Linked DNA regions of Lonchura striata. The protein of the gene in region 2 purifies or fractionates together with the protein of the main gene of each other region. This does not show direct contact. Links are inferred from orthologs where the notes say so. Each region holds a gene or a part of one and is shown on either strand. Other genes may lie near its edges. The genes, in order: ZFC3H1, EXOSC5, DIS3L and HBS1L.

Region 1 (7,168 bases), on a different chromosome or scaffold from region 2:
CTAAGAATAAATCAAGTAAACAATCTCTGTCTTACCAGATTATCATAGTTTATCCCAGTCAGCAACTTATTATCCCACACTTTCATTCCTCCCTCCCTTCCATGGTGGGATGAAGAAAGAACTTGGAAAAAGGTAATGGGGGCTGAGGGAACATGGGCTGAAAAAATAACAGTTTAATAATGGAAATCAAGTAAAATAGTAATAATAATTAAAAGGGAGATAACAAAAAGTGAAAGTGGAATAATGCCCAAAGAAGAAGAGTGATACACAATACAATTGCTCACTACCCAGCCCAGCTCCAAGCAGCCATCAGTGGCTCTCCGCCAACTCCTCACAGTTTATACACCAGGCATGATATTCTGTGGTATGCAACACCACTTGGGCCAGGTTTGGGTCTCAGTTTTGCACACTACCAGCTTCTTGTGCACCTCCTCACTGGCAAAGCATGGGATGCTGGAAGTCTATGACTTAGTGGAGGCACTTCTCAGCAACAACTAAAATACCAGTGTGTTAACATTTTCACATTACATCCGAAAAACAGCACTGTACTAGCTACTAAGAAGAAGCCAAAATCAGGACTCAAGACACTTAAAACATTTTATTTTCCAGGGGGAACTCAAGATACCATTCCAGGCCACAAGCCTCCTTGTACTAATTGATATGAAAGTCTGCTCTGAAGTCACATACCAATGAATTACACCAGTACTCCATTAATGTTAGCAACATGGAGGTACCTTAGTATTTATTAATTCTCTAATATAGACTGTATTAGGTGGCGAGGATGTTTAAAAAATCAGGAAGTAACTCATATTGAGAGAAAATCATGGACCTTCCTTACCTATACGATCAATAAACAAGAGAATGTTCACTTATTAAAGAGCAAGAGTAGGAACATCCTCCATCTGCCATGTTTCAACGGATGCATAAATCTTAAGTGCCAGGAATAAAAACACCTTAAACATTTTCTACTTTTGGTTTGAAAATGGTATTATTTGTTTCTGAATGCTCTTTTAATTAAAAGAGAGGAGGAGACTGCATCAGTCTCATAAAGAAACATTTTAATTTCTGTTTAGGACAATCTCCACATTTGCCCTGCAAATTATTCCTCACACAGAAAGTAACCACTTTCAGGTACTTAGAGCAACACTGCAAAAAGACTTTAAAATTATTTTCAGCAGTAGAATTGTCTTACTGTGAAAACTTGGGCAAATCACATCTCCACTTGCTGCCTCCCAAGACAAAATGCGCCCTTCAATGAAGGGCGGCAATGAAGCCTTCAATGATGCTGTAACTTGAGACTAAATAAGAGCGTCTCTATTGCTAATTTACATTCTCCATCTACATTAAAAAAAAAAAAAAATTAATGACATAAAAAATAATCTTGTCTATAAAACAAGATCCAAGAGACCCAAGAAATCAACCCACACTGTTGGTTCTAGCAAAAACACATCCTTTGACTATTGATATGAAGGACAATAGAACACGATTTAATCACCATCTCTTTTGCTGAGTGTTTTTTACATTCATCTACATTTTCAGTTAGATAACAATGCAGTTACATCAAGTCACCAGGCTGCCTCAAGCTACACTCAGCATTATTAGCTCTTTATGTTACTTCCTATAGCAAACAAGAAAAGTTAGGGAAGCTTTTCCCACCACTTTCACAATTCCTGCTCCTAAAAGGATGAAATAGCAGAATCCTCATACTGAGTGAGTCACCTAAACTGTTAAGAGCAATCAGTGGAGAACATCCTACAAGAAATGGTGGGTATGGCTTTCATCTGAATGCCCATATAAACTACAAATTGTGTATGCAGACCCACTCAGCAACTGACTAAAGCTAAACCTATGTGCAATAGCCTCTGAAGAAATCAAAGTGAAAATGAAAAAAAACAGCAGACCCTTCATTGCCCATTACAGTAAATTAACAGGCTTAGGGTTTTAGCTTTACAGTTGTGACACTAATTACACATATTAAAACTGCCGCACCGAAGGCTGACCCCACTTCTTAATATTCGCACTTGGGGCTAGAAAAGCAGCCGCCCGGAATCCAACCGACAAAACCTTCCTTTCAGGCTATGCTTTTCCTTTTTCCCTACACCGGACAGATCGGCCGAGCCGCAAGCCACGCCACGGCAGTAATCCAACTTCCCAGCAGCCTCTCCTTAAGCAGGGCCGGCTGTCCCGGCCAACCTCCAGGATTAGCTTGGGAGCCTCCCTCTCCGTTACCGCTGCGGGAATCTCACTGCCGGAGCGGGAGGGAAACGCGTTCCTTCCCACGGCTTTCGGCCACGTCGCGCGGCACGGCCACGCCCAGGCCCACCGCAGCAGCACGGGCCCCCCGCCCCGCTCACGTCTCAAGGATACATTTTCGAGGCGAGGGCTCCCTCCAGCCTTGGCTGCTACTGAACCCGGCGCCGCCTCCCCCTCCGGGCGGCCTCCCCGGAGGGTTGCCTGGCCGATCGCTGCAGCCTCGGCTCCGGCCCCAGCGCCCACCGCCCCGGTAGGGCCGGCCTCGGAAGCGGAACCGATCCAGGGCGTTGTGGCTGCGCTCCCAGAAGGAGAGCCTGGGGCCCGTGTCGGAGTGCGAGCCCGGCGGCATCCGCGGCGCCGGCGGGTGGGAGCGGAACGAGTCCTTAGGCCGGTACCCGCCGTGGCCGTGCACGTGTCCCGAGTCGGGCGGGGGCTGGTGCCTCGAGCGCGGGAAGGGCCGCCCGGGGGAGGACATGGAGCCGCTCCCGTGGAGCCCGGGGGGCGGACGGCGCCTCGAGTACGGCCTGCTACTGCTGCTGCTGCCGTTACCGAGGCCCCCGGTGGGCTCGGAGCCGCCGCCATAGGGCCCGAAGGCGTTGTTGTCGTCGTCGCTGATCTCTCCATCCTCCAGCTCCCCTTCCTCCTTCGGGGACAGCCCGCTGGGGTCGGGCGCGGCCGCCGCCTCCGCGGCCGCCATGGGCGCACGACAACGGTCTCAACGCGCCCTGCGCCCCCGCCGCCGGCCGCGCGGACTCTCGCGAGACCACGCCCCGCCCCTCCCGCTGGGAGGAGACAGAGTCGCGTGCGTAAGAAAAGAAACGGCTCGGGGCAACGCCCCTATTGCAGGGTATCCTGGGTAATGTAGTTCCCCGCTCGGGACGAGGCCGCGCGAGGCACGGCCGGGGGAAGCCGGCACCTCAGCCTATCGCGCGCGGCGGCGGGCGCCAATGGGCGCGCGGCCCGCCATGTTGGTAGCGAGGCGAGGGAGGAGGCGCCATCTTGTCGCGGGGCACGGCGCTGTGTGGGGACGAACCGGTGGCATGGCGGCGGGCTGCGCTGCGCTGCCCTGCCCTGCCCTGCCCTGCCCTGTCCTGCCCTGCCATCCGCCGCGGGATGATCAGTGGTAGCTCCCTTTAGCGCCGTCCAGGCTGCGGGGGCTTGGGCCTCCTGGGTGCTCATTGGGAGTGCTGGATGCCATTTCTCTGTTGGTGCGGCCTGTGCCCTGCTTCTCTCCCCAAACAGTGCACAGGCTGCTAAAGAAGGGAAAGCAGTGGGTGTTCAGGCATACCCCCAGAACCTTCCTAGTAGCTAAATTAATGTTAAAATTTTTAAGAAGGTTTCTGCAGAGCTTTCCAGAGCTGTGATTGCCTAGACGTTCAATGCCCTAATGCCTTCAGTGATACAAGTGACAAGTGAGCATCAGAGAGTGTAAAACAACTGCATAAACACTTTCAATCATCTATTTTATTTTCATATCTCTTAAGTAGCATTCTGTTGCTACCTAGTTGGTTGTTAAGGAATGCAACATCCTACCAAAACTGCTGACTGGAGAGCAGTAATGCCTTCCTTGTGGGGGAAAAAAAAAAAAAAATAAAGCCTTTCTAAGTCAGATTAGTGTCTCCTGTAGAACTCACAAACCCTGACTTTGAGAAACCTGAGAGATTCCTTTGAATTATACATGATAAATACCTTTGCAGATTTGCCGGGGTTTTCAAGCCTGGGAAAAGATGGCTACATCTTCATGCTTTTCCCGAGAGTGAATTATTAAGATGTTTTGTAGGGTATTTTTTAGTGAGTAATGTGCTATGAAATCACAAGCACCAAAATAAAACTCAGTATCATGTTACTGTTTACTTTCCTCTCTAGACTTCTTTAAATCCAACAAGAATAATGAGTGGATAATGCATATGCTTTTTAAAGTCAAAAATGTTGTGCCAAACAAGCTTACTTTTCTTTGCTCAAAACACTTTTCAACCTCTTTTTTTGATCCAATGGGACAACTATATAGAAAATATAAAAATAGATATTAAAATAGATACCACTGCAGTGACTTCATACAAAACAGGGTACAGTCCTTTTTTTAATCTGTTTAAAACAGTGTGCATTCTTTAAAGACGTTTACAGGGGAGCAAGTTAAAGGTTTGCTTTTTCACTCCCCCTCCCCACCACAAATATACATCATTCTACATTAGTGTGCTATTTGTGTCAGTACTTCTATTCAAATTGTTGCTATCTCTAGGAATCAGGCTTACATTATTTTACATATCCCACAGTACTAAAAACATGAAAATATGACATAGAACATACTGAAAACTTTGTCAAGTAGCAGCTGGAGGTCAAGCAGGTTTTTTAAACATTGCTAGGTGCCTATGCCCAAGTCTGAAATCTAATCCACTGTAGCTACAAAGAAGTTTCAGTATCACCACATGTAAGCTGCAGAAATTTCCCTCCCAGCATATGTCCTTACTTAGGCATCCCAAAGCTTTGCATATATCAGATTCCAGTAGCCTTTGTACAGTTACCTCTTTTTTAAGTGTTTTCATGCACCAGTAGGAAATTGTATCTTTTAGGCGGGAAAGAAAAACGTTTATAGAACTGTAAAGTATTTGCAAAATGTCAACTCTTTCATGGGAAATTACCCTGACAGGGGTATTCCCACTCTATTGATTTTTATTGTATGTTTGCTTACTGTTCATCCAACAAGTGTGCTGAATTTATTAAAAAAATGTTATATGATCTGTATTATAAATTTCTATCTAAGAGAAGACTTAACCATCTGTAAAAGAATACCCTGAGAATCTTCAGAAAACTTAACCATCTGTAAAAGAATACCCTGAGAATCTTCCAGTGGTTTTGTATATCCTATGGCATCATATGTCCCTTCTTTCATTTCAGTCATCTGATATTCCTAGCTTTTTGCTGTCATCTAGGGTTATTACATGAGTAATTTTAAATTTTCATAAAGAAGCAGATTCACCACTGTTAATAAATAGGGAAATTAATAGTGTTAAATTCTTTTCTGTAAAGGGAATAAAAGGGCATGTGTAAAAAGAATGTGTTTTTCTGCTGGTTTTGCTACCTACACATTTGAACAAAGGCCATAAACATTTGAAAACTGCAAGGGAGCTGCCATTCAAATAGAAAACATGAAGAAACTTCCTTGCTTAAAACACAAGTAATAGATAAAGAATTTTTTGTGAGGTTTCATTGCAATGTGTGAACTTAAGAGAAAAAAAAAAGAAATTTTATTTTAGCTGCATTTGACTTCATGCCTGTGAAATAGATTATATTGCTGCTGGAAAAAAAAATTGTATTAAATACTGAATATATTTTCAGTAAAGGACAAATAGAATAATTTAAAATACAGAAGACCATACTGTAGTAAAATACTACACTCGTGTTTTTCCTTATGGTGATACCAAACAAGAAATGGCCTTTATTGATCAGCCAGTAAGGACAGTGGGTCTTTCTGGCTGGCACACTCCCGTAAATGCTCTCATCAGCCTCCTGTATTTTAATACAGGAGCACAGAATTTGACTTCTTTCAAAGTTTGAGGCAGGAAATTAGTAACATGTTTATAATGTAAATTAAATTCAATTACAAAAAGTAAAGTGAATTTTTTTTACAGAAGCATAGTCTGAGTTACAAGAACTTGGCCAGATTTCAGAATATAAAAGACATGCAGTATATTTTGGTACTATAAAATTTGGCTTAGGCTAAAATTATTTTTTCCTCTTCTTGCTTTGCAAGTGTCAATTACTATCATAGGTTCAGAGTTGATTCCCTAGTTGGTAAGGTAACAAAGATAAATATATTATTTGCATTTCTTCTGCAGTTTTGTGGGTTTTCCTGTGTTCTGCCTGTGTTAGCTGACACAATGTCCAGTTAATCCACAATTTGACACTTGCACAATTTCACATAAATTTGTTCTGTTTCTTAACTTGTTTCTTCTGGATTTTTTTTTTTTTTACAGAAAGCTTTGTGAAATCTTCCTAAGAAGAAAGCAGCTTCTATCCAACTTCAAAATAAGCACTAAGTATAAGTAAGTTTTTACTGAACATAGCCTGAACACAGTGTCTTGAACACAATGCCTTCAAAATACATATGAAAGAAGTAAAGAGTAGAGGAGGACATATGATTGAAAAAAGAACAAAGAATCACATTCAAATAGCAGGCAGAGCTGCATAATGACAGAATTAAATACCTCATTAGATGCTTAAAATTAATTAATATTTCACCAAGAGATCTAACTGAGCAAATTATATTAAATACCTAAAGGAATCTTCCCTTGGAAGAGGTAATAGTATGATATATATATATATATATATATATATATATATGAGATAAGAGACTAAAGTGAGATATTTTAGAGAAGATTATTTATAAAAGCTATTTAAGTAAAAAAGTAGTCTGTAATTTTTATTTTGGTAGTTATGGTAAATTAATGGTAAAATACAAATGAGTCACATTGTTATTTTCTCAGATTGCACTTGGTGATGAGAAAAATCTCGCTTTTATTACTTCAATTATTCAATACCTTTTTTAAAATCTGGAAGATGTCAAAATGTGATTTCAGGTTTTCACCTCTGGTATTAATAGTCTGATGGAAGAGCTGATTCTAAGAGTTCTGTCTTCCCAAAAGACAGAAGTCTTGCATGCAAGAAGCTTTTTTCTTTTGCAAGAGACTTTATTTTTAGGATCATAAAGCAATCACTACAGATAACTTCAGATGAAACACATTCAAGTAGCAGTTAACTCCCTCCTGTTAGATGTTGCTAAAAAGAATGGAAATTTCCTCTCAGGAACCTCAGCACCATTTCCTGTATCCTCAGAGGTTATCAACTGAGGATCCTGCATTAGTACTTGAGACCCTACACAAGTCTTTGAGCAAGGAGTCCTAGAAGTTAGCAACAA
Region 2 (7,155 bases):
CTGTAAATATGTTGTGGTAAACTAACAGTTTGGGGGGAAAAGTTACACACACGGTGTTTTGGTATCTAAAACATTTCAAATATTTACAGGAATACTCAGCTAAGGTAATTGTTTATTTTCTAGTATTGTTTATTTTCTAGTTCAGCTGTCTGTTCATTATGATCTACCTAATACGATACTGGTGGCTCTTTGTTCTCAGCTCAGATTGCTTTTATCCAAGACGTGGGGAGGCTGCCACTGAAAAGACATTTTGGGAGGTAAGTTGAACTTCTGCCTGTAGTTAAAAAGTGAGACTGTGTCATCTGTGAAGGGGGAGAACCCTGTGATGGCATGAGTCTGTGATGTAACAAAGACAAGGTATTTTTAAAGGTCTGTTTAATCTGGACTTAGCTGCACTGGTGTAATCTTGTGGAAGTTTTGCCCGTAAGGCTACTCAGAGTAAACCTTGTGCAGAATGCACCGTTTCTCATCAGGCTAGAGCTGCTGACTGCTGAAAACCCAGGTGTTTCCCTGTGGGCTGCAGTGGCTCCTCACGGGCTGCGTGTGCAGCCTCAGGGTGACCTGGCACGAGCAGCTCTGCTGTGGCTCCTTGGAGCCCTCTGGGTCAGAGACTTCGCTGACCCCAGCAGAGCCCCAGTTACACTGCTAGGGCTGTGATCCTCTGGAATTTAAAGTGTTTTAATTGCTGTGTTTCTAGCAAAGAATCAAGTTCACAGCTGCAGTGAGACAAATTGTCATCTCCTAGCTAGGGCATAGTTTACTGAGGCATCTGGCAGAGCACCTCCTACTTGGCCCTGGTGTTGCTGCTGACTTTGTGAATTTCCAAGGTGTATTTCCAAGAACCACCCTGTTTCCCAGCTGTTGTATTAAAAGCCATTTTGGTTGTTAGGGAGATAGACAAGTGTCCCTAAGGGGTGCATTTCTTTGTAATCCCCCTGGTCTGTGCCACAAGGTGTGAAATTCCTCACATTAATCATAACTTCCTTGTGCCTTTTAAGTTTCCCTGCAGCATACCTGTGGTTAGTCACATTTTGTATCTGCATCAATAAGTTGGCTGGGTGTCACAGTGTCTGATGCTGCTGAAAGCACTGCCATCGTTCTCCATCTGTTCAGTGTGCAGGAACCGTAGTGTCACCCTGATTTTTAAGATTTTCTAAAGCCTTCTGAGTTTACATTCTGTTAGAAAACTTTTCCACATATTTTCTATAAACAATATATCGTTTTGCATTTCTTCGTGGTGGTGGAAGAAGTTAATATACTAGTAGTTTGTCCAATGTCTTTAAAGAAGTAGCCTATTCACTCTCCAACCCACTGTCACCTTTAGAACAATATAAAAGTTAAAGTCAAAAAAATACACCTTCTTCTTTACCTTGCAAATAGCAAGTAGCTCGCACCATACTTTCACATATCCCATAACGACACCGTAGTGCAGAGAAATGTGGGTGTTTGCTGCCCGGGGGTGCTGCTGGGGCACCGGGTGTGTTCCTGCAGTGCTCCGGGAGGCTGTGCCGTGCTCAGCGTGCCGCCCTGCTGCCTGCAGGCTGCAGCTGGAGGCTCTGGACGACCGCGACCCCGGGCTGCCCGAGCTCCACGCCGACCCCGAGGGGCTCCCCTGCAGCCAGTCCAGCGGGAGCGACCTGCCCGGCAGCCAGCCGCAGCCCGTGGCGGCGCAGGCGCTCCTGGAGGAGGAGGAATTGCGGATCGAGGAGTACGACAGCGACTGAGCGAGCCCTGTGCCCGGGGAGCTCTGCAGCCGGGCACCGAGAGCCCCGCGCCCCACAGCGCCAGCCCCGCTCCGCCTTCCCGCCTCTCCCGAGCCGCGGCAGCGAGAGAAATAGAGGCTGAAATCCGTCTGAAGGACGCTAGGGACGGTCAGCGGTGTCGCTCTGAAATTATCTGTGTTTTTACGCGTTTTAATATACGTTGCGATTGTGCAGCGCGTTTCCCGAGTACACATTCCGTGAGCTGCCAGCATTTGGAGGGTTCGTTCAAATTCACATTTCCAAAAAAATGCCCTTCTGGAAAGAAGAGGCTGAAATTTATACCTGAAACGTCACCGTACTGGTGATGTAAAGAAAACCTCTACTGTATTCATACTGTTTTGTACTCTGTCTTACAGAAGACATAAATAAGATCTTTGTGTCTTTGTAAGGGGAACAAATGTTGTACCATGGATTATTTTGTATTCCTCTTGGAAAAAAATTTTCATAACTTTTAGAGGAGGAAAAAACAGCAATTAAGCAGAAGTTGTACTTTGTAGGAAGATAAATGTGCAGTTTTTCTCCTTGACTTGCAGTTGTGCTGGGGGAAACAATGATCCTGTGTTTGGCAACTGACACATGATCGGGTGCTGTGGTTAGTGATACCAGCAGAGAGGAAAAACAGCTTTGTGTGATGCTCGTTGGCATTTCTGTATTGCTTACAGCCAGTTTGGTGAGAGAAAACACGTGTTTATCTGCCCTCACCTTGGATTAATGCAATTAAAGAGTCTGTACCCATCCTCTCTCAAGGGACAAGTGTTGTCTTTTCATCTGCAGCTACTGCTTAATTTTGAAGGGAGAAATTTCACTCCTAAGTCTAAAATTCTGTTACAGCTATACTCATTACAGCAAATCAGACTGTCTTTGTCTGTTCATGACCAGTAACCCTTTTTTTCCTCATCAGGGTTAGGATGGGCTGTTCCTGGAGTGCCTCCAGCACAAGTAACAACCAGGACTAAAATACTGATTTTTATCTTGAAGCACACCCCCACCCTCTTTTATTGTATTTTTTCAGCTTTCTTTACAGTAGCACCAGGTACCTGCAGCTGCTGTGCTGGCCTTTTCCTTGTTAGGGCAGAATGTTGTTTTGATTTTTTAAAAGTGTTAAGTTTTTTATAGTTCTTTTGAAAGTTTTTAAAGTTTTCATAAAACTTCTTTAGCCTTCTGATAATGTTTACATATTTCTGTTGGAGTTTTTTCACACATGTTCATGTAAATAACGATTGCTTTGCATTCTTCTTTGTGGGAGGAGAGAATTGATGGACTGTTGGTTTGACCAGTGTGGTTGGAGAGGTGGCAGTTTCATCCTCCAATCCACTGTCACTTTTGGAATTACATTATTTATGTTACATTGCAAGGTCAGAAATAAAACTGTCTGTTTTTCTCTCTTGAACTCACCAAACTTCTGTGTACACCTTTTGTGTCCAATAACAACATCTGGAAACTTTCAAAAGAACTGTAAAAGAAAAGTTAACACTTTTAAAAATCAGAGTAGCAACAGAATTCAGCGCTCAGCTGGAGCTGTGAGCTGCAGCATGCAGGGGAAGGTCAGGTTGGACATCAGGAAAAAATTCTCCACTGAAAGAGGGGCTGGGCACTGGGATGGGCTGCCCAGGGAGGTGTGGAGTTACCGTCCCTTCAGGAGTTTAATAAAAGCCTGGGTGTGATGAGGCGGTGTCAGGGCATAGCTGGGACTTGATGATCTCAGAGGTCTTTTCCAGCCTGGCTCATGCTGTGATTTAGGAGCTTCCTGGGTGCGATCAGAGGGCTGAAGCTGCTGTGGGTTCCTCTGGGGAGCCCCATGGCTCCCGCTGCAGCCACCCAGCCTGTGTCCATGTGGGGCTGTGGCCGGGCTGGGCTCGGGGTGCCCCTCCCCGGGGACCCCGGCCAGGGGCAGGGACCAGACACGGACAGGGATGCGGGTGCTGACAGCAGCACGGACACAGCAGTTAAACACAAGAGGCAGGACTTTCCTTCTTCCCCTGGTGTCGTTGTGAAAAACGCCAATTACTTGGTTTTTAAAAGTTTTAAACGTTTAATAATAATAAAAATAGTAATGCAATTAGAGTAATACAATTCAGAGTTAGGGAAATTGCAAGACAATAAAACGCAAAGAATTACGGACGTCTGGATGCTCTCAGACACTCAGTCATGAAAAGCATCCCTTGTGAACAAAGGAATAACCTTAAAAACAACAGTCTGTTGCATATTCATCTATCTCATACGCGATGCATGATAGAGTCCCCCTGTCCCATCTGCCCCAACGCCTGGCGCTGATTGGCTATCGCGCTGCCCGGCGCTCATTGGCTATCGCGCTGCCCGGCGCTCATTGGCTATCGCGATGCCCAGCGCTCATTGGATGTCGCGACGCCCGTCTGTGATTGGCCGCCGCTTGGCCCGGAAGCGGAAGCGGCGGCGGAGCGGGGATCCGGCGGCGATGGCGGCGGAGGTGGTGGAGGCGGAGGCGGTGGACGGGCCGTGCCGGCTGCGGCGCTTCTCCTGCGAGCTGGGGCTGCTCTCGCGGCCCGACGGCTCGGCCGCCTTCCTGCAGGGTCTGTGGGGCTGCGCTGCCCGGGGCTGCCCGTCCCGTCCCATCCATCCCACCCCCATCCCATCCCATCCCCATCCCATCCCATCCCATCCCATCCCATCCCATCCCATCCCATCCCATCCCATCCCATCCCATCCCATCCCATCCCATCCCATTCCCATCCCATTCCCATCCCATCCCCATCCCACCCCCATCCCACCCCATCAATCCCATCCCACGCCATCCTGCTGACCCCAGCCGCAATCCCATCCCATGCCATCCCATCCCATCCCGCTCATCCCAGCCCCATTCCCATCCCATCCCACCCCATCCCACCCCATCCCACCCCATCCCATCCCCACCCCATCCCATCCCACCCCATCCCATCCCCACCCCATCCCATCCCTACCCCATCCCATCCACACCCCATCCCACCCCACCCCACCCCACCCCATCCCATCCCATCCCATCCCATCCCATCCCATCCCATCCCATCCCATCCCATCCCATCCCATCCCATCCCATCCCATCCCATCCCCACCCCACCCCATCCCATCCCATCCCATCCCATCCCATCCCATCCCATCCCATCCCATCCCATCCCATCCCATCCCATCCCATCCCATCCCATCCCATCCCATCCCATCCCATTCCCATCCCATCCCAATCAATCCCATCCCACACCATCCTGATGACCCCAGCCCCATTCCCATCCCATTCCCATCCCACCCCATCCCATTCCCATCCCACCCCATCCCATCCCCATCCCATCCCCATCCCACCCCATCCATCCCATCCCCACCCCATTCCCATCCCCATCCCCATCCATCCATCCCCTCCCATCCTGCAGACTCTGCGGGGCTCACTCGCCGGCTCTGCCCTTCGTTCGTTCCTGTGGTTCATTTTCCCAGCCTTCCCCCCGAGTCTCTCCTTCCTAGTCATTCCCGGCTCAGCTTCCCGGGACTCCTCGCTCCTCCCCAGCCCTTCCCGCAGGCTCTGTGGTGCTGTGGTCGCAGGGCTCCCCTTCTCCCCTGGCCGGCTCCCCTCCTGCCCTTCCCGGTGCCCTCCCGTCCTCACCGAGCGCGCTGCCCTGTGTGCCCAGGGGACACCTCGGTGCTGGCCGGGCTGTACGGCCCCGCGGAGGCCAAGATCAGCAAGGAGCTGCCAGACCGGGCGGCGCTGGACGTGCTGCTGCGCCCCAAGGTGGGGCTGCCAGGTGGGACTGCCTCCCGCCTGCCCCGGAGCAGGCTCTTCCCCCAGAGTCGCCGTGTTGGGTTTATTTACAGCACTGTAAATCAGTTTTGCTGGGTGGCAAATCCACAAACCCCTGTGTTATTGCCACATTTTAGCAAGCAAAGGCACTGCTGCTCGTTTGCTCCCCAGCTGTGTGGTTAATTAATGCTCTCCCTGCTGCTGGGTGACGAGTCCCGGCTGCTGTCACTAATTAGTGCCGCGCTGGCTCTGGCTCTGCTCTGCCTCTGGGCCTGACCCCACTGCCAGCCCTGTTCCCGCTCTGAAAAACACCAATCACTCGGTTTTTAAAAATTTTAAAAGTTTAATAATAATAAAATGGTTATAAAAATAGTAATACAATTACAGTAATAAAATTCAGAGTTAGGACAATTGGAAGACAATAAAAAGCAAAGAATTACGGATGTCTGGATGCTCTCGGACACTAAGTTATGAAAAGTATACTTTGTGGACAAAGGAGTAACCTTAAAAACAACAGCCTGTTGCATATTCATATATCCTTCTTGGTTATGCATACATTCTATTTAAAACAAGAACTCTTTCTGTTGTATGTCAGCTGTTTCCTTTAATCCCCATGGCATCTTCCAGTCTGAGCAAGACCTGAAGAAATTAGCTTCTTTTGATAAGCAAACAGTTAAAAAACCCCTTTACCTAGCAGTTTCTATTTTAATACTATGCTGGAACCTGAAACTATATTTAACACAGTACCTAAGAGCATTAATACAGCATAACTTTCTACCATGACACATACAATATCCACTGTAACGTTTGTAAAACCAATCATAAAAGGTGCATTTTTCACACGGCCGGAGCCCGCTCAGCACGGCCAGCACCGTCCGCAGGAGTTCCTCCTTCCCCAGGCTCGTCCCTGCAGCCCTGCCGTGTCCTGCAGGAGCTCCCCGTGCAGGGCTCTGCACTCCCCGGGCACCCACCAGCCCGCTGGGCTCTGGGCCTGGGTTTTCTTTCTGAGGCTCCCGGGGCAGGGGCTGTGGCTGAGCTGACACCCTCTGCCCTCGGCGCAGGTGTGCTGGAGCGCAGCCGGGAGCAGCTGCTGCAGCAGACGTGCGAGGCCGTGGTGCTGGGCGTGCTGCACCCGCGCACCGCCATCTCCCTGGTGCTGCAGGTGCTCAGCGACGCCGGCTCGGTATCCTTTGCTGTGTGGGAGGCGCCGGGGGGCCGGGGGAGCGGGGCTCTTGGTGCTGTGGCTCCTTGACACGCACAGCTGCTCTCCTGCTGCCTGAATGCCGCCTGCATGGCGCTGCTGGATGCGGGCCTGCCCCTCTCTGCTCTCTTCTGCGGCGTCACCTGCGCTCTGCAGCCCGACGGCGCCATCCTGCTGGACCCCACAGCCCGGCAGGAGCAGGTGAGCCCGGGGGGAGCCCTGCTCCAGGGTGCCCACCCAGCCCCGCTGACCCCTGTCCCCGCAGGAGGCACGCGCCATCCTCACCTTCGCCATCGCCAGCACCGACAGGAAGGTGCTGATGGTCACCACCAAGGGCAGCTGCTCCGTGCAGGAGGTGAGGGACTCCCCGCGCGGGTTTTGGGGTGCAGGATCCCTCACAGGGGGCCCCTCACTCCCGGCCCTTCGCCCCTGCAGATGCAGCAGTGCCTGGC
Region 3 (7,588 bases), on a different chromosome or scaffold from region 2:
ATTGTGCAGCACTGACCCCAGACTTGAGCGAGATGTACCAGAGGGAGCACTCCCAATTTGGAAGTGGGTGGAAAATCTGACCTGTTGGGTCTTTCCATCTCTGACCACCATTATCCTCTGAACCCTGCAGGAGCTGCTCTGCAGGCTGAGACAACCCTGAGCATCATCTCAGTGCAAGGGCTCCCACCAAATCAAATGCATTTTGATAAAAAATGATTGATATGGTGGCCTTCTCCTTTGATCCAAAGTGTTTTCATAATTTCTAGCACAACAAATATAAGCATATTTTATGAAAGCAGAAAATCTGGACTACACCGAGTTATTAATCAGCTGCAAACAACCTAAAGCTCCCTGATCAGACAAAGTGTAGCATTCTAAATATCTCAGCATAAAGGCTTTTTTCTCTTTAAATAATATTGAGGCTCTCTCATCAGTAAATCCAGTGGGAAACCCTGGGATAAACTAAGCCAAGGTACAGAAAATAAGTGAAACACTATAGTACACAGCGTTGCATTCCTGTGCTGTAAACTTTTGAACTGCATCCATGGAAGAAAAGGATGGGGGAAAGAAGATCAAATGCATGCCATAGTAAATATCAGGTATTGTGATAAATTGCTTTTATGCTTCCAATAATTGTAAACATCGTGTAGTTTCATATTCCTGACATGCTTGAAGAGATCTGCAAGCCTTTTTTTTTATTATTATTTTATTATAGAGAAGCATCGCTTTCTAGTTTATTTTGTGGAGAAAATTGTCTTTTTATGCTATAAACAACTCCAAGCAGTTTGTCCACGGAAGCTGAAAGGTGGAATTTTAGCCCATTAGACACGGGCAGGGAAGCGAAAGTTCCTATTTCAACCCAAACTCGATTACAGAGCGTCCCCCAGCGGGGGTGTCCGGTACTGCAAACGCAAAACACTAAGCGGGTTTGGACGGACGGAAATCCACGGAGAATATTGGGAAGCCCAAAAATGCACGAATAAAAAATCGTTTTCGCTAAAATTAGAAGAACATTAGCATTCTAATTGTAACGCTGTATAAATTATTTTAAAGGATAAATGAGATAATCATCAGTCAAAGTGCAATCCTAAGCAAAATAACAGAGTCTAATTAACATGAGATCTGACAAAAATAATTAAAGGAGGGGGACATAATTAATGCCAGTGGACATGGGATTACATAAAACAGACATTGTTAAGATCATCTAATGTCTTTCTTTTTTATGAGTTCAAGGAATGGCACATTAATCTCGAGACCTTTCTAGATGTGGGTGCAATTTTTACAATACTTGGCTTTTACTGAGCCAGCGATCCAGAAGGAATCTCCAAGAGAAGGAAGCATTTATCCAGTTTAGGTTGAGTTAGAAGGAGATGATGAATTGCTAATTGTTCCCCAATTGCTTTAAGAATGGGAGAACCAACTTCAAAAATATGCTATAAGATAATCAAATCTTGCATCCTCTACTTCAGTCACAGAGTACTTGGATGAAAAAAAAATATAAAAAGCCCTTTTTCAAATGGAAAGATACAATTTCTATTGATTCCATGACTATGTGGATTCCAGATTTATCTTCTGCCTCTTGTTTGTGGCATTTGTCAGGTGAGTCAGGCTTCGGAAGCTTGAGCCAATTGCTGGTATTCTCCAGTGACCTCAAATTTCTTGGCCCAAACACTTCTGTGAAAAGGTAACACTCTGAAATCTGTCCTGCATCTTCTGACAGGCTTCTCCAGGCAGGGAGAGCTCCCAAGAGGTTCCCACTTCCCATCCCAAGCAAGCACAACTGTAAAGACTTCCATTGCCCATGTGAAAATAAAAGCTTCTCTAGCACTCACTGTTGTTATACGCAGGGGCATTGCACAAAGTGAGGAATATATTCTACCATGATTTATTCCTTTACAAAGTACTTCATGAAGTTAAGCTGTATGAAGCAATAGATGTCCCATAGTTCTGCAAGCAGAGTGCACATCATCTTTATTCTTCAAGATTTGTTAAGATGTTCTAATATGGATACACCAACATTTTTGCAGCTTTTATTTTAAAACAATTAAATATATACATGTTATCTTGCTAGTTTTGGCTGTCCCTGCACAAATGTCTTGCCTTGTGTAAAGACAATAACAGATCAGCATGAAATAGCAGAGTGTGAAAGTTCACCTCTGATCTCACAGGGACAAATTCAGCTGTCAGATAAAGTGCCAAGAGCTCTCTTTGGCTCTAGTGACTCCAGCTTTGTCTTTTGCAGTCATTTGAGGTTTCTTCCAAGAGAGGAAAGAAGTGGGGAAACACTAGAATGAAAAAACTGCTCAGACTAGGATGTTATAAATACAAGTGCAGCTACTCAACAGTATCCCTAGGGTGTGAACTTGGCCCAAAGGTCTTCCATTTTCCTCTGTGAAACAGTGCACAAATGAGAGCAGTCATCTCAGCTACTTCTATTTAATTAACCTTCATTTTATTACAGTCATTGAATGTCACTGAGTAAGCACACTGGTCTGTGTTCCTCACTGTGTCAGCAATCAGCATCTGCTACATTTCAAACTCAACTAAATGTCTTTTTTTCCCAAATGTTGTGTTTTTATTACCCTTTCTATCAGCATGGGTTACTTCATCTTTGCTCCTGCTGAACAAGATCTCCATCATTTTGCTCTCCATTTCCCTTTTCCTCTCACATCCTGCTTACATAATACATTTGAAGTCATCTTGACTCCCAAACCCAAGTCTACACTTTGGTCGTCTCTCACTAAGTTATAACACCTCCTCCTCCTCAGATGTTTGAGAACTTGGCTTCTGCAAATCAGCTACTTACAGATGGTGCTTCCATTTACTGGCACAAATTGGTTACTTAGAAGTATTAGTCATTGGAGATACACATTTTATAAAACATGTGAAAAATAAGAAGTAGAATAAACAGGAACATACAGTGACATACTGCCTTGGCTCTTTCCCAGTGTTTTTTCCCCTCCTAAGAACAAACACTACACAGCTCTCACCATGTATTTATGTTCAAGTGAAGTTATAGTGTAGGCACTTATTATTTGAGAAAGTATGAATGCTTTTCTAACAGTCAACACAATCATCCCCAAAATGGATGGCAGCATCACAGACACCAGAGACACTGCTTTGGACTCCTGACCTTCCACTGCTTTTCTGGTTCATCTTGGACCAGACTTCACCTGTCAGTGCCTTTATCTTCCCCTCTAAATGTGAAGGACAATATTGGTGATTACTGTAAAATAAGTTGTCATTAGGGCTTGCCTGCTCTCGTCATGCACCTTTTCCCTGATCCTCATTTCCTGGAGTGCTCTGACATGTGGTCACACAAAATCAGGGGTGAGGAACAGACCTGGGATTTCTCCTGGAAGATGACGAGAAAGAACATGGAGGTTCATACAACTGCATCCCTCACTTGAAGGGAATCCGCCCTCTGTGCCCGCTCAGCCACACAAGCCTGGGCTCCCTCAGGGCTTGCACTGATCGGGCTCCCCCTCAGCCCGCTCCTGCCCGCTCCTCAGGGCCGCCCTGGTTCCCTCAGCTCCGGTTCCAGTCCCCTCAGCTCGCTCCTCCAGGTCCCTCGGCCGCCTCGGCTCCCTCAGCTCGCTCCCTCTGTCCCTCAGCTCCAGTTCTAGCTCCCTCAGTTCGCTCCCACCCCGTCCTCAGACCGCCCCGGTCCCCTCAGCTCGTTCCCGCCCGGTTCCTCAGACTGTCCCGGTCCCCTCAGCTCGATCCTGCCCGGTTCCTCAGACTGTCCCGGTCCCCTCACTTCAATCCTGCCTGGTTTCCTCAGACCGCCCCTTGTCCCCTCAGCTCGATCCTGCCCGGTTCCTCAGACCGCCCCTTGTCCCCTCAGCTCGATCCTGCCCGGTTCCTCAGACCGCCCCTTGTCCCCTCAGCTCGTTCCCGCCCGGTTCCTCAGACTGTCCCGGTCCCCTCAGCTCGATCCTGCCCGGTCCCCTCAGCTCGATCCCGCCCGGTTCCTCAGACCGTCCCGGTTCTCTCAGCTCGTTCCTGCCCGGTTCCTCAGACCGCCCCGGTCCCCTCAGCTCGATCCCGCCCGGTTCCTCAGACTGTCCCGGTCTCCTCAGCTCGATCCCGCCCGACTCCTCAGACCGCCCTTTGTCCCCTCAGCTCGTTCCCGCCCGGTTCCTCAGACTGTCCCGGTCCCCTCACTTCAATCCTGCCTGGTTCCCTCAGACCGCCCCTTGTCCCCTCAGCTCGATCCTGCCCGGTTTCCTCAGACCGCCCCGGCTCCCTCAGCCCGATCCCGCCCGGTTCCTCAGACTGTCCCGGTCCCCTCAGCTCGATCCCGCCCGGTTCCTCAGACTGTCCCGGTTCCCTCAGCTCGATCCCGCCCGGTTCCTCAGCCCGCCCCGGTCCCCTCAGCCCGATCCCGCCCGGTTCCCCCAGCTCGATCCCGCCCGGTTCCTCAGCCCGCCCCGGTCCCCTCAGCCCGCCCCACCCGCGTTCTTCCCGCCCCTCGGTTGGAGCCGATCCCCGCGCTGTGACCCCGCGCCCCGCCCCGCGCAGGCGCCCCGGCAGTCGCGGCCTCGGGGCCGCCGGTCCCCGCCGTTCGCGGCCGGTCGCCGCCGTTCGCGGCCGGTCCCCGCCGCCCCGATGCTCCGCACGGAGAAGGTGCTGCAGCTGCGGGGGCAGCACGGCCGCGCCGTGCGGGTGGTGCGGGAGCACTACCTGCGGCCCGACGTGCCGTGCCGCAGCGCCCTGTGCCGCAGCGCCCAGTGCCGCGCCGCCCGCGCCCGCGGTGAGGCTCCGCCGTGAGGGGACTGGGGGGAGCCGGGACAGAGCCGGGACAGAGCCGGGACAGAGCCGGGATCGCCCGTGGGGCGGCGGGCGGCGTCCCCCGGGGCCGCGGGTGACGGGGGACAGAGCTGCGGGCAAAGTGATCCCTGGGCTGGGATGATCCCTGAGCTGGGGGGGGATCCTTGAGCTGGGGGAACCCCTGAGGACAGAGAATGATCCCTGAGCTGGGAGCATCCCTGAGGATAGAGAATGATCCCTGAGCTGAGGGAACCCCTGAGGACAGAGAATGATCCCTGAGCTGGGAGCATCCCTGAGGACAGAGAATGATCCCTGAGCTGGGAGCATCCCTGAGCTGGGAGCATCCCTGAGGATAGAGAATGATCCCTGAGCTGAGGGAACCCCTGAGGACAGCATGATCCCTGAGCTGGGAGCATCCCTGAGGATAGAGAATGATCCCTGAGCTGGGAGCATCCCTGAGGACAGAGAATGATCCCTGAGCTGGGGGAACCCCTGGGGACAGGGAATGATCCCTGAGCTGGATCCCTGAGGACAGAGAATGATCCTTGGGCAAGGGTTATCCCTGGTGGGGAAGGGGTGATCCCCGTTCTGGGGTGTCCGGATGGTGCTGAACAAATCACGGCTGTAGCAATAGTTTTCCTTTACAGCAAGACCCTTGAGAAACCAACGAGGCGTTAAGAGCGGAAGGAATCGTGGAGTTGATTGTTAGAGAGTTTAACTGTGAACAGTTTACTGGCAGTGATAAAAGGCTAAAGGATTGTTCAATTTTTACACTTCTCTTGTTTTAAAAGATCCTTTAAAATGAATTAATTTCTGCAGGGTGGTGGTTTATAGCATGAGTTAAATTCTATACATACCTGTTAAGTATTACAATGGGGCCAAGCCATTATCTTGAAGCCATTGTAATTCTTCATCAGTAGCTATTTCTGTTCAGTAATTAAATGTAATTGCCTGTGTTATATCAGGGCATTTCAGACACGGGAAGGTTGCCAGGCTCTGATGTCTGCATTTGTTGTTGTTCTTACGTACTGTGGTGCTGTTATGTGCATCGTAGATCATCACCAGAGCTGTGGTTGATATTTCAGTTGGGTTTGTTGTTGTGGTTGTTCAATAGCACAATTTATTTGATGCAGGAAACTGACTGGTAAATAACAAACATAATATCCAACTTGTTGAAATCGACTTGTTGAAATGACTTGCCTGAAAGAAAAGGTTGAGAATTGTGACAGTTTTTTTTTCTTTGGAACTATGATTGGGATAGATGTTTTCACTTTTGATTTAGGTTGCAATCGAGGGCAGAAGGTGTATTACTTAGATCATTATAGTGTATTACTGCTATCTAGGAGATCAGGACTACTTACTGCTCCCTAAAATACATCATTTGGTTGTGAATTCCTCAAGGATAAATTAAAGGCACACATCAGAAAAAACTCTAACCTTTCCTGCTGTGCCTAACTCCCCCTCTTTTGTACTTAAATGTAAATTGTGCTATAGGTGACGGTCAGAATATATCCCTGTGTGATTATTCAAGGTAACCCAGATGTGAGTGAGATATTTGTTTTCCTTCCAGACTCTACACAGTGTGCTGAGCAAATCTATTTCATGCCCTGTGAGAGACTACCTGCGAAAATCACATCAGCAGGTGCTTGTAAGGGTGAGCTCTGCCTGCCTGGGAGTCATTCTGCTCTGAATGGATGGGTTAGGCAAGGATAGCTTTGGATGGGCACAGCTCATAAATCTCCCAGTGACATTTCACTTCTAATGCTCTTCTGGATTATTAATAAATATTAGCTTTCTTGTACGCCTGCTGCCATCATCCATTATAAGCTTTCAGTGTGAGATGAGGCCAGGTTACTGCATGCACAGTTGTGCTGGCTGGATTCACACTTCTTGTGGTCACAGCTCAAAGATTGCCCCCTGTCAGCTTCTAAGAAATACATTCAAATAACCTATATACTTTATTCTGTATAATTTGCCTGCACTGTGGGGAGTTTGGTGTTTATAATAAATAATAAATAGATATTACGAAAAAATACAGTGGAAATCCCCTCCCATCTGAAAGCTTTTGGGTAATCTTTGAAATACCAAAAGCAATTAAACTCTTGAATTGTGAGGTACTTTTTAAGATGTCATCTGTGATGTGTTGTGTCTGATATTTTCATGGCATATTCCTTAGGGATAGAGTCTCTGTAAAGAAAATTAACACTGATGGTTAATAGTTTAGGTTTAAAAACATCTTTTCTTTGCAGTAGCAGTGGTTTTCTCTACGTGCACTCTTACCTGTGCTCTTTTATGTAAAGAGCCTGCTGTAAATGGTGTGTTTGAACAGAGAGAGCTGTGGGAGCAGAGTAAAGGAACTGCTCATAATTCTACAGCCTTTAGAAATTCCATGAAAAGATTTTCTGTGCCAGATGTATAGTCCCTTTTTCATATGGAAACAGAGAAGAAAGAACTGTAACCTTTTCTCTTAAGCTATAGCCTTTTCATAATGCAAGTGGATATTTTTCACTTCTTTGGATAGAATTTGCACAAAAGTTTGGCATCAGTTGATGCAGAAGGGTTTTTGTCACAAATTTATGGACTGTACCACAGAAGTTAACCATAAAATCCATAATTTTGTTCATCAGAAAAAGAAATGTACCCATTTGAGGAGGCACAACTCTAATTTTCTTACATCAGGAAATATTTTCAAGAAACCATTACTGCAACTGAAAGTTTGAACCTTGAAACTCTGAATTATCTTCTAGATGGCAAATTGTTATCAGATGATGTCACACACTACGTTGTCCCCGACTGCAAGGTTGTTCAGGACTAC
Region 4 (7,418 bases), on a different chromosome or scaffold from region 2:
TAACACTACATAACTGACTGTAACAGAATTATGGCCACTAGGCACTTTTCAAAAGTGTCACTAGCTTTTAAAATTTATTTTATTTAGAAATAAATATCAAAACAGGCATCAATGAATAATACTTGATAATTATTTGAACTAACCTGTTGAAGGAGAAATGCAATAATCATCTTCTACTGATTGGCCATACACATCATCATCTTCAAAGTCTATGAAGCAAAAATAGCAAGATTAATCTACACAATTTCTAAATAATATTATAATTCAAATACGTTCTGCACAAGGTTTTATGAAATAATACATTTCCTGTATTCCAGAAGTACAGTTAGGTTCTGTGTATTTCCTATGTGAGAAATAACCTTCCAAGCTCCAATAACAGAATTTTCTTAAAATAATATAATTTAACATTTAATACTCTATTCATTAGGCTGAAAATTTTCAAGAGCTGCCACACTTCACACCTCCTCCTTCAGCATCTCCTTTGCCCTCACCGACTAAATCTTTCTACATTCCACAAATCTTTACCCATGGCACTTCTCTTGATATTTTTGCTTGACCTCTCAGCCTTCACCCCAGACAGGCAGGTCAATTACAATTTCTAGTCCAACAGCTAAGGATCAGCATTTCTACTCCATTCCTATACATTTCTCACCTTTCTTCTCTATTTTATGCTCACATCTATCCACCTTTCAAATTAAGTTCAGCAAGCAAAAAAAAAATTCACAATTCCCTCTGAATATGCAAAATTGTTTCAGGTAAAAAGCAGGTATCTTATACAGTTACTTAAAGCTAAAAATATTCTTTCCTCACAAAAAAAAAAAAAAAGGCACGCAGAAATAAAAATAATAAGTTATGCGCCTTCCTCTCAAAAAAGGAATCCTAGTATTATGCCAATCTTTAAAAAATTGTGTAATTTTCACTAAGTAATAATGAAATACATGAAAAAAGTAACAAACTATTATTAAAGACACTACTACACTTGGCAGTTTCACAAGTAACCTCTATTTGTTATTGTAAAAGACAGACCCCAGTATGCACTGACCATAAAAATTAGTATTTAAAAATTACATAAATTACAGAGAACAGAGTAGAAGCTACTGAAGTATTCCAGCTGCACTGCCAAGATACTTGCAGATGGAATATCACATTTGGTTATGATCACAGTATCTCAGAAAGGAGAGGGGAAAAACATAGAACATAGTCAAATAAAGCCCAGAAGATCTAAGGCCTCAGAAGTCTTCCTATGAAAGGAAACTAAAAAAAAAACTGTAAATATTCAGCTTAGAAATGGGATTTGTATTTGGGCATTACAGAATCAGATGCAGTATAAAAAAAGCATATTGCATTTAACAGGTAAGAAGACACAAAGTCTCATTCATTTGGGTCATAAATGATTCTGTGTGACTACAGAAGAAACATACGGTACAAGGGTAAAGACCTGACACATAACCTCACAGTCACATTTCCAATAGCAAAATGTGCCTTATTAGCTACTGCGTAGCTATTAAGATTACTGTGTATCTCATTACACAGTAATGAGCAAACTCATTACAAGAGAGTCTGATGAGTGCATCAAGACTCTATGGATTGCACACTCAACTTTTCAAAAGCCAGAGACTCGGCTGAAATCAACGTTTCAACCAATCTGTGATGAAAAATGGTCTCTAGAGGATGAAAAATCAAGCAGTAGAATTCCCAATCTAATTCAGGGCTTTGCCTATATTAGGAAAATTTACACTAGCAGAAACTGCAAGGTGGGAACACAGTCAGCACAGCTCACATGAATTTACAACTTCCAAGAAATTCCAATACCAGAGTGAAAAACCCAATTTGTACTACTATAATACATAAAAACCATGTAGTCTGTTTACTCAACAGAAGACCAGAGGCAAGCTGAAGCTTTCCTTGCATTTTTGTAATAATATGACAAAGTGAAGCAACAAAATTACTGCTCCCTCAGCAAAGGGCTCTTTAAAATATCAGTATGAGCCAAAGTGTGTCCATTTCTCCACAGCCCAAACCAACAAAAATAAAGACTTTCAGGGAAAAAAAAATACTCTGATTTACAGTTTGGGTAAGTTAATGGGGCCAAGGCACAAAGAAAGCTGCCGTACTGCAGATACAAGCCATATTCTTATGGAAGAACTCTTCATTCCATGCAAGAAGCACAAGTAAAATGAGACAGGTGCCTGAAAAAGAGGTTGTTCCCTAAATGCACAACTCCATCTTTAAGAATTACATTTCTTCCTCAAGTAACAGCTGTTAACCCATTTCTATTAACATCAGCAACACTTGGCTAGACTTTGGCCCTGAATACAAATTTTTAAGTTTTTCAAGACTAAAGATGGATGGATTCAACCATACTGAGGCTTTTTTCAAGTCAGTGCCGCTACTGAAAAGCAGAGTAAATTTGGGCAGCTCAAGGCAAGGCAGCCGTGGCTTGGACCACGTACCAAGGCCACGCTCGCCCCGTGTGGAAGCTCCCGGGAGCCCCCGGCAGCAGCAGGAGAGCAGCCACGTGTGCCCGACCCTCCCCACTCGGGCGGGAAACGGGCCGGGAACGGGGCGGGGCGAGGCCTCGCCCGGAGCCCCGACCAACCCCCGCCGAGGGGAGGTGAGGGCGCGGCTTTTCCCCTCCCACCGCCCCTGACAGCCCCCCGGACCCTCCCCTACCGCCGTGCGAGGCCCGCCACACCCTCCTGCCCGCGGCCACGGCACGGGTGGCCCGGCCGGTAGCAGGGGCCGGGCGGAGCGCCGAGGGACCGACGGGTCCGCAGCTCCGCCACCACCGCCTGCTCGCCATAACCGCTACCTTCGTCGTAGTTATATCCTCGGACGTTCCTGTGCCGGGACATGACGGCGACAGCGGCAGCAGCGGCGGCGACGGCCTCGCTCGCCCGCCCGCGGTGACGCTGGCGCGGCCGGCCTAGGTCGCCATGTTGAAGTACGGCGGCGCCTGGAGGCGCCCCCTCCTGCGCAGGCGCGCAGGGCGCCGCTTCCGCCCTCGTGTGCTGCTGGGCATGCGCACGGCCCGTCCCGCCTGGCTCGGGCCGGCGGGTCGCGCGGGGCCGGGGGCGGCGCCCGGAGGCGCTCGCGCCCCGCCCGCGCGGCGGGCGGGGGGGGCGGAGCGGGGAGGGGAGCGCGGCCCCGGCGGCGGGACAGCCGGAGTGCGGGACTGCCCGGCTGCGGGACTGCGGGAGTGTGCGGGGCTGTGGGACTGCGGGAGTGTGGGAGTGCGGGGCTGTGGGACTGCGGGAGTGTGGGAGTGCGGGACTGTGGGACTGCGGGAGTGTGCGGGGCTGTGGGACTGCGGGGCTGCGGGAGTGTGGGAGTGTGGGACTGCCGGGCTGTGGGACTGCGGGACTGTGGGACCGCGGGAGTGCGGAGCTATGGGGCTGCGGGAGTGTGCGGGGCTGTGGGACAGCGGGGCTGTGGGACCGCGGGAGTGCGGGGCTATGGGGCTGCGGGAGTGTGCGGGGCTGTGGGACCGCGGGAGTGCGGGGCTATGGGGCTGCGGGAGTGTGCGGGGCTGTGGGACAGCGGGAGTGCGGGGCTGTGGGACCGCGGGAGTGCGGGGCTATGGGGCTGCGGGAGTGTGCGGGGCTGTGGGACAGCGGGAGTGCGGGGCTGTGGGACCGCGGGAGTGCGGGGCTATGGGGCTGCGGGAGTGTGCGGGGCTGTGGGACTGCGGGAGTGCGGGGCTGCCGGGCGGCGGGACTGGGAAAGCACCTGCGGCTGAGGGGTGCCTGTCGCGGGGGGACCGGCCGGAGCTTGGTGTCCGTGACCTTGGAGGCGTCTTCCAGCCTGAATAAACGTTGCTGCGATTCTGCAGGGTCTGGTAGCATGGAGCCTGTCTGTAGTAGCTGTCTGTGTGGTATTGTGAGTTACAGGGACAGTCTAGATGTGAGATGCCCATTTTCTGTTAATGATGAGTTTGATTCAAGCCAAAAGTGGCAAGTTTTACATGCGCACATGTAAGCAAGTGGTTTGAAGTTTATTCAAAAGCAGTTGCATCATTGATGAAAAGGGAGTATTCTGTATAGGCCTGAATTCACTAAGGGTAGGCTTATTTAAACACACTTGAGGTAAGTGTTTGTGATGTGTGTACCACCACAGGAACAGGGCTTGAAATTAAGTACAAGGCCTTTCTCACTTCTGGATCTGAAACAGCTCCAGCTGACCTGGCTTTTTGATGACAAGTAGCCATTACAATCCAGGGACTGATGAGTGGCCAGGCTTGAATGAGCTGCTGTAGGTAAATGCAAGCTGTAATAATTAGCATTGCTGTTGGCAGCATTAAGCAAAATGTCAAAGCATTAGGCTACGTGGAGCCTTGATCTGACTATATTGGCACATTACTGTGCCATTACTTTCTAATGCCAAGTTTCAGCCTGCAGGAGCAATTGCACTGCCAAGTGTTTGCATAGCCGAGGCATGTCCTACAGCTGCTCCTCTTGCTGGGGCAGACAACTGAGGACAAGCAGACAAGACATTAAGGTCTGGTGAGAGAGTTGGGATAGAGATCCCAGTTCATGAGCTCCAGCTGTGGCAAAATCTGTCTACATATCTGCCAGCGCAGTTGTTCCCCTGCAGATACCTGTGTTCATCTGTGGGCTCGGGAGCTGCTAGGCAGATGACACCATTAATATTTTTGAAGTCAGGTGTCTTTTTCTTTAAGACCTTCAATAATTTATTTACCATCTTTTCATCCAGTCTTGAGAATACCAGAAATCAAGTCCCCCTCCAGCCAGCTGCACGCTCCAGGTTGTCCTCTGATACCCCAGCACACAGCCACACATCCCTACGAATACACATGCCCTGCTTCTGTACCTGTCACCTGACTATTGTCTTGTCCTTGGCCACATGCCAAAACTGTCACTATCTACCACTCCACATCCTTCCTGGCCACTGCCAGAGGTTAATACTGCCAGTATTAACTATAAGCCTAAAGTTTGTGTTCATATACAAATAGTATGCAAAGTTGCAGATTGTTTCCTTATATTATTTGCATATTTCTAACTAATTTCTACAGAGAAGCACATGCAGCTAAACAGGCTTAGGCTCTATATAATGACTTTCATACAGTGCTAGGATTAAAACAGAATTGGAAGCAAAGGTTTCTGGTCAATACTTGTGTCCTGTTGACCTTTAGTGTCCCAAATGTTCTCTGCAGCACAGGTTTGACAGTAGTTGAGCTAATCCTTACCTGTCCCAATCTCTTGACATGAGTCAAAGATACAAAAGTGGAGACTTGCTATCATCCATTATTACTACAGCCAGGGTAGCACACTTCTAAATTCAAAACCTGATTCCAGCATCTGCTTTCTGGGCCTTCAGTGAAGTAACTTGAGCCACTTCATCATTACAACTATATATACCAGTCTGCCTCCAATGGCTTTACTTTGGAAAAGACACTTTCCAGCCTCTGAAATTACTTCAACCCCATTCTTCAAATGTTAAAAACTCCAGTAAATATTAATTATGTACATTTAGGTTTTTTTTTTTTTCTTTCAGGTAGTGACAATTCTTGTTTCTCACGTCTGACCATTGTGTTGCAAAGATATTTCTTTTATCCTTCTTATTGATGCTTTTTACATAAATCACCAGCTGCTTATCAAATAATAAAGTTTTCATGCTTGAATTTTTTTTCATTACTTCTCTTGATTTTCAGTGACTGTGACCTCCTCAGATAGGATGCTCATTTTATTTGCTTGATAATCAAATGTAGGATTGATTTCAAGATTTCAAAATTAGTTCAAAACAGGAAAATAACAGTTGTAAAATATAAAGGTAAATATAACGGTAAGACAAATGGATGAGATTATATAATATGTAGTCTTTCCATGGTATTAACAGTGAACTTAAAATGTTGTTATTTTTCTTCATTTAAAGTGTAATAAGTTATATAAGATATAAGGAAAAAAGAACCCAAAGAGAACAATTTCTTACAGGAGCATAATTATTTCATATTATACTAGTATCTTCAAAGAGTCACAAATACACTGTGATTATTCCTTGCCTTTTCTTAATTCTGAGACATATGTAAATGTTTTAGGGGAAGATGTTCAAGAAATAATAAGCTTTAGTCCTCAAGCCCTAGCTAGCTATACTTCAGTTAGTGCTACTTGTGTATGAATGCGAAGTTCATGAAAAGTATTCATCTGATAGCAAAGCAGTCTTCTATAGCTAAACATTATTCCTTCAGCAGCAATTAAAGCACCATCAGAGAATCTTGTCAGTCTGGCTCCAGCAGCTCTAAGGAATGACTAACCAGGTCACTTGTGGCATCCATTTGCTTCCTGCCCACTGAAATTATATATTACTTTAAGGTGTGTGCCTTAAGAAGTGAACTAAGATCACCGATCTCGATCCAGGTGACAGCATTTCTGATAATCCTCTTTTTTTCAGCAATCTGTTGGGCACTCCCAGCCTCAGCACTATGAATTTTTTTATAAGTGTAAGAATCAGTTAATAAAATACTTAATAATTTCGTTTTAGCTAAGTGGAAAGTCTTTCATATAATGTTATTTCTTCTTCAAGTGATACCGCCAAGCTTTTTAGTGATTGAATAGTCTTAGTTACAAAGCATTCAGCCTATTTCAATATTGTGTTGTTGTTTTAACCCAAAGTGAAGGAAGGCTAGGAAAAAAACAGCATAATTCCAGATATTTTACCACACTACCAGGTGTGGCTGTTAAGTTCTAAAATATAATATTATCAAGGTCAGTAAACACATTTCCAGCTGCTAAATGATCTGACTAGTTCAAATGACATGTAAATACATGTCTATTTTTGTCTAAAATGATGCCATGTAGTCAAAAGCTGATTTAAAAGTTAGAAAACAAAGAGTATTAATAAATTATCATTTTGTACATATGGTAAATAGCAAGTGTCTCAAATTTTCCATAGTATGAATGAGCTTGTTAAATATATTTATTATTTCTTTGGGAATGGATCAATGCAGAACAACAAGTTTCACATATGAGTGATTGATGTTAAGTCAAGACCTTACACAATTTCAACAGGATCCATTAACAGCTAAGTTAGATGGCAGCTAATGGCAAACAGTAATGTAATGGCAATTCAGTCTAGAAAAGTGAGTTCTTTGTATAGTTTAACATAAATTATTAAAACTAGAAAAGACCTTTAAGATTATTCAATCCAACCATAAACCTAACACTGCCAAGTTGACCACATTTTTGTTCCTTACAAGTATGTAAACTTTCTGTTGCAAAAATGAATAAAATATTTCAGTGGCTTTAGGTAAATCTACACTTTCTGTAACACTTGGATTTCAATCCCAAATTCCTCTGTCACCCTGCTGCCTCCCTGCTGGCACTCAGAATACTTCTCATCTGCAGTGACCCAAATATTGGCCCAGAAAAGGAAGTTCAGTCTCTGGAAGGAGGGGAACTGCC

The links.
Region 1: the proteins of EXOSC5 (region 2) and ZFC3H1 purify together in Homo sapiens (affinity purification with mass spectrometry; 3 studies listed by BioGRID and IntAct, with this or other methods). This does not show direct contact. The link is inferred for Lonchura striata from reciprocal best matches to the Homo sapiens genes EXOSC5 and ZFC3H1.
Region 3: the proteins of EXOSC5 (region 2) and DIS3L purify together in Homo sapiens (affinity purification with mass spectrometry; 5 studies listed by BioGRID and IntAct, with this or other methods). This does not show direct contact. The link is inferred for Lonchura striata from reciprocal best matches to the Homo sapiens genes EXOSC5 and DIS3L.
Region 4: the proteins of EXOSC5 (region 2) and HBS1L purify together in Homo sapiens (affinity purification with mass spectrometry; 3 studies listed by BioGRID and IntAct, with this or other methods). This does not show direct contact. The link is inferred for Lonchura striata from reciprocal best matches to the Homo sapiens genes EXOSC5 and HBS1L.

Annotation. Positions count from the first base shown.
Region 1 is NC_134607.1:45,484,127-45,491,294, forward strand, and holds the start of ZFC3H1 (zinc finger C3H1 domain-containing protein), read right to left. Parts: upstream 3,018-7,168; 5' UTR 2,951-3,017; coding exon 2,368-2,950; intron 1-2,367. UniProt on the Homo sapiens protein: Subunit of the trimeric poly(A) tail exosome targeting (PAXT) complex, a complex that directs a subset of long and polyadenylated poly(A) RNAs for exosomal degradation. The RNA exosome is fundamental for the degradation of RNA in eukaryotic nuclei.
Region 2 is NC_134642.1:86,203,195-86,210,349, forward strand, and holds the start of EXOSC5 (exosome complex component RRP46), read left to right. Parts: upstream 1-4,155; 5' UTR 4,156-4,197; coding exon 4,198-4,312; intron 4,313-5,392; coding exon 5,393-5,506; intron 5,507-6,563; coding exon 6,564-6,685; intron 6,686-6,763; coding exon 6,764-6,904; intron 6,905-6,968; coding exon 6,969-7,058; intron 7,059-7,138; coding exon 7,139-7,155. Other genes in the region: cell cycle checkpoint protein RAD17, read left to right, coding at 200-257, 1,541-1,724. UniProt on the Homo sapiens protein: Non-catalytic component of the RNA exosome complex which has 3'->5' exoribonuclease activity and participates in a multitude of cellular RNA processing and degradation events.
Region 3 is NC_134613.1:22,671,906-22,679,493, forward strand, and holds the start of DIS3L (DIS3-like exonuclease 1), read left to right. Parts: upstream 1-4,575; 5' UTR 4,576-4,611; coding exon 4,612-4,756; intron 4,757-7,520; coding exon 7,521-7,588. UniProt on the Homo sapiens protein: Catalytic component of the RNA exosome complex which has 3'->5' exoribonuclease activity and participates in a multitude of cellular RNA processing and degradation events.
Region 4 is NC_134605.1:58,287,872-58,295,289, reverse strand, and holds the start of HBS1L (HBS1-like protein), read right to left. Parts: upstream 3,004-7,418; 5' UTR 2,856-3,003; coding exon 2,813-2,855; intron 210-2,812; coding exon 144-209; intron 1-143. UniProt on the Homo sapiens protein: GTPase component of the Pelota-HBS1L complex, a complex that recognizes stalled ribosomes and triggers the No-Go Decay (NGD) pathway.